3 linked regions of the Kluyveromyces lactis genome follow. The protein of the gene in region 2 binds, or shares a complex with, the protein of the main gene of each other region. Links are inferred from orthologs where the notes say so. Each region holds a gene or a part of one and is shown on either strand. Other genes may lie near its edges. The genes, in order: LSM7, LSM2 and LSM8.

Region 1 (2,341 bases), on a different chromosome or scaffold from region 2:
TTAGGAAATGGTTGTGTAGAACTCATATTATTTTCTTTTAGCAGCAGATAAACCTAAGTGAAGTTCGCTTTGATGCGCTAATTGATTGGTCTTCAGTAAAGAGTAAGAATACTACAGAAAATATTATTCAAACAGATTTGCAGCAACAAGCGAAAAGAGAATTTGAAACGTTAAAAGAACAACTCTCACAAGAGATATATACTCACATATATATAAATGAACACCTGGACGCAGTCGGTTTAAAGAATTCAAGATATCTCTCTAATCAGTCGATGCGATGAGATACGGTTTTTTGGTCGAAATTTAACCAAAAAGCTTTGCTGATGTTAGAAAAAAGATTCAATAAGTCACGTGAACGCACATTTGTGCAGATTAGGTCTTGATAAGTGAGATGTAGCCGGTTAGGAAAGTATCTCCGTTGGAGATACTTATTTCATTAGATACAGGTAGAAATGTGGATATGGGCTCATAGTGTGAGTTTGATATAGCACTGAACGTTATATAGCACTATTAATGAACATATATGGTACACTGTTGCTTGAAATTTTTTTTTTTTGGGTCTTAACTAGGTATTGATGATCTCAGCACCTTCGAGGGAACATAGCGAAAGTAGAGCTGTTCCTCTTATGACGACCAAACCAATTTTTTTGGCTTGGTCCTTGTGGATGATGGTTTCATCTTCTGGGTCTCTTGCATATTCGACGGTTTCGTCAAGAACCAAGTTCATTAGCTCGTCATAACCCTTTAGGATTCCAGTGACCAGTCTTCCCCCTATGAACTTGACACGTACTTCTGTGTCCTTATATTGTGCAAGATTTATGATAGACTCACGCTTTGGGCCTTCGAACTTCTTCTTCTGCTCTTGTCTCGGTTGTTGTGATTGCCTCTGCAGAGAAGGGGAATGTATAAACTCTCTAACTGTTAGTAAATTTGAACTTAAAATGTAGAATGGATCATTGTTTTGAGAAAGTTGAAGAAGTTTTAGAAAGCCGTCCTAATTATAGTAGTTAACATACTGCTTCGCTCATTATTAGTAGTTGGTTGGGTGGGGTAGCGCTGTTTGCTCAATGGGTTATTGTCAAAGTGTGTTACTGGTTTCAAATTAACTTTTCATTTAAGTTTACGGAACATTGAAAAATTCGATGTTCAAACATGCCTGGACAAAACGACAAACATTGAACTTACAGCATCGAAGACAAAATAAAACAGAGGATATATCAGCACCGATAATGTCATCTGACGTGGAAATTATATCCGATTTGGTTAACACTCAGATCTTTGTGAAACCTGGTACATCATGGGACCATCTGGGCCAAAGATTGAACGAATTGACCGGTGTTGATGTTCAAGACATGAAATTGGTGATAAATGGCAATGCACAGAACAGCAAGTATTTGAAAGATCTCAAAGACCAGAAAGTAGAGAAAATCCAGTCCATAAAAGTGATAGACACCAACGAAAACAGTTTAGCAAGCCAATTGAAAAATGATTTGCTACATGCTAATAGCGATGACGTTTCGTTCCGATACACCATGGACGATTATGAGAACAGAAGGGATTCTGTATTACAATGGAAAAAAGATAACAAGTTAGGGAAATTTAATCCTGAATACCGCTCTAAGATGGAAGAACAACTACAACTGAATATCGATAAGGCAGAACTATTACAAAAACACGTTGGAGAAAGATGCAGAGTACTGTCCAACGAGGAAACAACGACCGATTCCACCAAGGTCCCCGAAAGAAGAGGATGGTTACGATACGTGGGAAAAGTTCAAGAGATCAGTAATACAGATGTATGGTGTGGAATTGAATTTGACGAACCTGACGGTAAGAACAATGGTACATTCCAAGGAACGAAGTATTTCGGACCAGTAAAAAAGAATTACGGCGGGTTTGTGAGACCTGCCGTTGTTGAAGTAGGTCCTCAATTCACGCCATTAGCTGACGATGAATTGATGCTCACAGATGATGAGTTATAGGGAGTTGATAATTTACATAAGTTTAATTATATTCTCGTCCTTGGCCTCGTGGATGATACTCTGAACTACGGAAATGACACCTGACACACACGTGACAGGGTCTACTACTGAATGAATTCGTAATTGGTTTGAGTCGGGTGTTGTGCCGTAGCTGGTAAAAAGGCCACGTTGCGACTTCGGTTCGAATCTTCCTCAGAACACAAAGTCTCTGTTCATATGAACCTGGTTACAAAAAGATCAAATATGGCAATTCATTTCCTGTTCTCAACTTCATACTAAGCCCTTGAAGCGCTTCAAAGAATATTCACTCTTAAGTATAAGGTGGATGCTCGTTACTTTGAAGTGTTTTGAGAAGAGGT
Region 2 (1,709 bases):
GTCATCGCAGATCCAACATACTTCCCTGAGAAATGTAAAACTACAGGTGAAAAGGTGATCAGAGCAATTTGCATCACTAAACAACCTGTTCCTAACACTAGTAATGCTGATTCTTGCCAAATAATTATACCACAATCACAAGTTGGAAGAAAGAACGACATTTATATTGCTACTGTCTCTGACGCCCATAAAGTTACTTCGAAGGGTCATTACCTCGCCAGTGTATCAACCATCATTGAAACTGATAAACCTCATATCGAATTAGAGCCGGCTTTCAAAATGTTGGGCCCAATTGAGGAGAGGTTCATGGGTATTTCAGAAATCTTTGAACCGATCGAAGATGGCACTAAAGACAACATTTACATCTCTAAATCTTACGATTCCTCATCTCACTTCGAATCCATGACCGACGATGTCAAGGATATCTACTTTAGGATTACTGGTCACCCCCTTGTTTTAAAGAAGAGAGAAGATGTTGCAGAGGAGTAAGTGAGAACTACGAGATAACCGTGATGCTAACTTTTGAAAATATCGTACCTTCACGTACTTCTACGTACTTTTACGTTACTTTCTTGTTTCGTTACAATCTTTATCATTATCATTTTATTTTTGTCTATTTACTATCTAGCCCCACATATTAGCTTGAATGTTTTGGCAATAGTTTTATTTCAGCAATCGACGTAAAAATATCCCAGCTAGTCCTCTTAAGTCCAGCAGCTTCTCTACTTCTACATATGAAGTTGTGTATGTCAATTTTGTACATGTATCTTTTTTTTTTCCTTCAACATGAAATTGTTTAAAACAATTTCATGTTGAAATTTGACAATACAACTACAACACATTCAAAAGTCAAATGCATGGACCTCTGAACCAAGGCCGTACTGTCCAGAACCATGCTATTATTTTCATTTTTCAAGACCCTGGTTGATCATGAAGTCAAAGTCGAACTAAAGAACGGTATTGAACTAACAGGTACTCTAAAATCAGTCGACCAATTTTTGAACTTAAAATTAGACAACATTTCGTCCAACAATAATGAAAAATATCCACATCTATCAAGCGTGAGGAACATGTTCATCAGAGGTTCTACTGTGAGGTATGTACATTTGAAGAAATCTATGGTGGATACCAACCTACTTCAAGATGCAACCAGAAGAGAATTAATGAGTGAAAGAAAGTAAACGAAAGAAGCAGCGAAAAACAGGGTTCCTGCTGCAGAAAGGAATAATTTATAACTGTTAAATATCATTCGAGTCTACCACTCTCACACTATTCACATATGTAATAATAGAACACATTACCTATCATGGTGGAACTCCCAAGAGTTTCTTCTCACATTTTGATCGGAGGTGTCCAGTTTCATTGCAATAAGAACATTTAATGTTGTTAGCTTTAGACTTTCGTTTTCCAAATTTGGCTTGTTTAGGAGTTCTTTGTACTGGAATTAGAGCATATTCTTGACCGTCTTTCTGAATAATCTCAATTTGTTTCGAAATCATTTTTGAGAACTTCTCTTTATCCAGTTCAACGGATGTAATCATCGAGATGAGCTCATCAACGTTCTTCAGTTTGTTCTCGTATTCCTCTTTTAAAGACGGGAGAGTCGACTGCTTTTTTTGGGACTGAGATAACACTAGTTTGGCTAGTTGATCAAGCGCCTCAGACTGTTTAATAATCTTGTCTGCATCCGCCATGATAGAGCTTGTGGT
Region 3 (2,347 bases), on a different chromosome or scaffold from region 2:
AAAAATTCGTCACCTATACTGTTGAACCACCAGTTGTTACATCTGAAACAAGTGAACCGTTCGTTGAAAGAGTACGGACAATTGCTATGGAATAATGAGTCATTGGATACTGTCGGTATCAAGTTCGCAACTGACGACACCAACAATGTATATAGGTGGAGGTTACAACAAGAGCATGCTATGCTAGCATCTCAGGGCGAAGGAATGACTGATGCGCAAGTGAAGGCGTTTGTTGATAGATATATGCCTTGTTATGAACTATATTATAAAAACTTCATTGACCCGAACACCGCGTTCGGCAAAACAAATCTTACCATTGCCATCGATGCCGACAGAAATGTGGTCAATCATTTCATTTCGCACTCTTGAACTTCTTCCCAGGGGATTAATACCCTGAGTCGTTGTGTCTGGTTTTGATTTAGGTGTTGAGATTCAGGCGTAGCGATAGATTCATGTCTCAATCTTTTCTCAAGCAACGCCTGCCTCTTGCTAGCTAACCTCATATCTTCATGCAACGTCTGGATGGCATCCGTGAGGTCTTGCATTTGTTGCACGACATTGAACATGACATTTTCATTCATGGTAAATCTGTCCATCCATTCTCGATGTCGTTTATCCATCTGCTTCGTAATATTATCCGCTAAAAGTTGCAAACTTTCACCGCTTGATGCCTTTAATTGATCCAAACGAGACTTTACTTCAGAGACAATCTCCGTTCCCGTTTCTTGATTACCATCTAAATACACACAGAAATAACGGCGACTTCTCGGAGTCTCATCCGTTATTTTCCTAGTTAGTAAAAACTGACCGTAGTGACTCTTACAAAGAATCATTCCTAAAGGGTATCAATCAACGACCAATCCACGTAGATAGAACTAAGTAAATGCCCTTATACTAAGTAGATATTCCTTTCATTGTGCATAGAAACCATACCTTTTCTACTGTCAAGTTCTGCTTGGAATAACTTTCGCGAATGGCTCAATTCATCCACGTTCTCCTTGATAATCTTGAATAGACTCTCAGACGTGTCCCGCAACTGCACAGTCTCCAACTCTAGACGACTAGTCCATTCTAAGATCTGTTTGTCGGCGTCTGGAATCTTTTTAAAGGGAGAAGACCCGTAATCGGTCTCACTTTCATTCTCTTCCGCCATTTCAACCGTGATTCGGAGCTTCTAACAATATTAGCCACAACACAACTCTAGATAACTGCTGTAGAAGCCTGTATACTTCTGTTATGATGTGTGATTCTTCTTTGTTGAAGATGTTGTTGTTATTGATAATAGAGAATCTTCAAATAGAAAACATTACTTTCAAATTATAATAGTAACGAAGAAAAGATAACGATCCATCGGAGCGAAGATATCCACATAACTGCCCCCTTGTTTGCTAGAACAGTGAATGGACAATGAGTGCTCTATTGAAAGATTATTTGGACAAGAAGGTGATGTTGGTCAATGTCGATGGAGACACATACTATGGTGAAATGAAAGGGTTTGATCATGCGGGAAACATGATTCTTTTAAAGGACAGCAAGATATGCATTATACGGAGTAGTGAAGTGGTATTATGTGGGCTGATAGATGATATACCAGAAGAAAAAGAACTGGCAAAACTTCAGAAGTTCCCAGCGTGTAAGAATAAGTTACCGTTTAAAGAAGAAATAGACATTTGGAGTGAGCGATGGGCTAACAGATGAAATATAAATAATGTTATACACAGCTGCTGGTCTCCCTTTCATTGACCGAGTTCTTTCATTTTGAGAGCTACTTCAAAGAGGTAATCGATGGACTCGATGTATATCTTGGCTTTCTTTGGCGTGGGGCCCCAAACGAAGAGTCCATGTCTTTTCACCAGTACCGCACATGCATTTGGATAATCCTTAATCATTTGCTTCAACGCTGGCATGAGATCCTGTTCTTCTGGAGCGTTATCGATGATTGGAATACGTAGGGTATCAACGTTCCTCAAATTGGTACCGTCACCTTTGGGTATCGCCTTGATTTGTTCAATGTCCTTGATGGTAAACTCCTTCTCATATATCATTGAACAAAGCACCGCATTGATAGAGTGCGTGTGTATGACGCACGAGGCACCCAGCGTCTTGAATAGCTCCAGGAATAACGGTGTGCACGCAGAGGGTTTCAATCCAGGCGCACCACATTGATAAGTATCGTCCTGTATATTGTATTTAACAATTTGTTCAGGTTCCAACAGTTCTTTCTCAATGCCACTTGGTGATATGTATGCGATGTTGTCCTGTTTAATGCCGATACCACCACCTGTACCGAGCACCCATTTGTTCACGTAGAACAATTGACACATGGAACATATTGTTTCACTGGTAT

Evidence for each region.
Region 1: LSM2 (region 2) and LSM7 share a complex: the UniProt entries of both Saccharomyces cerevisiae proteins name them as parts of the spliceosome U4/U6-U5 tri-snRNP complex. The link is inferred for Kluyveromyces lactis from reciprocal best matches to the Saccharomyces cerevisiae genes LSM2 and LSM7.
Region 3: the proteins of LSM2 (region 2) and LSM8 are in contact, whole or in part, in a crystal structure (PDB 4M78), measured with the Saccharomyces cerevisiae proteins. The link is inferred for Kluyveromyces lactis from reciprocal best matches to the Saccharomyces cerevisiae genes LSM2 and LSM8. Residues at the interface, in NP_009527.1 of Saccharomyces cerevisiae: Phe4, Lys8, Val11, Leu19, Asn21, Ile23, Ile25, Ser31, Val32, Asp33, Phe35, Lys39, His53, Leu54, Gly55, Ser56, Val57, Arg58, Asn59, Ile60, Phe61, Ile62, Arg63, Thr66; in NP_012556.2 of Saccharomyces cerevisiae: Met1, Ser2, Ala3, Thr4, Leu5, Asp7, Tyr8, Ile16, Val18, Asp19, Gly20, Lys32, Asn33, Thr34, Arg44, Gly58, Ser59, Glu60, Ile61, Ala62, Leu63, Val64, Gly65, Leu66, Ile67.

What each region holds. Positions count from the first base shown.
Region 1 is NC_006041.1:2,036,968-2,039,308, reverse strand, and holds LSM7 (Sm-like protein LSM7), read right to left. Parts: upstream 1,029-2,341; coding exon 1,017-1,028; intron 887-1,016; coding exon 566-886; downstream 1-565. Other genes in the region: FUR1 (uracil phosphoribosyltransferase), read right to left, coding at 1-26; ALF1 (Alf1p), read left to right, coding at 1,230-1,982. UniProt on the Saccharomyces cerevisiae protein: Component of LSm protein complexes, which are involved in RNA processing and may function in a chaperone-like manner. Component of the cytoplasmic LSM1-LSM7 complex which is involved in mRNA degradation by activating the decapping step.
Region 2 is NC_006042.1:855,163-856,871, forward strand, and holds LSM2 (Sm-like protein LSM2), read left to right. Parts: upstream 1-893; coding exon 894-1,181; downstream 1,182-1,709. Other genes in the region: GDI1 (Gdi1p), read left to right, coding at 1-489; KLLA0_F09229g (uncharacterized protein), read right to left, coding at 1,305-1,694. UniProt on the Saccharomyces cerevisiae protein: Component of LSm protein complexes, which are involved in RNA processing and may function in a chaperone-like manner. Component of the cytoplasmic LSM1-LSM7 complex which is involved in mRNA degradation by activating the decapping step.
Region 3 is NC_006041.1:1,467,109-1,469,455, reverse strand, and holds LSM8 (U4/U6-U5 snRNP complex subunit LSM8), read left to right. Parts: upstream 1-1,407; coding exon 1,408-1,698; downstream 1,699-2,347. Other genes in the region: TDA10 (putative ATP-dependent kinase), read left to right, coding at 1-369; methylthioribulose 1-phosphate dehydratase MDE1, read right to left, coding at 1,737-2,347. UniProt on the Saccharomyces cerevisiae protein: Component of the nuclear LSM2-LSM8 complex, which is involved in spliceosome assembly. The LSM2-LSM8 complex plays a role in the biogenesis of the spliceosomal U4/U6-U5 tri-snRNP complex by accelerating PRP24-mediated annealing of U4/U6 di-snRNA.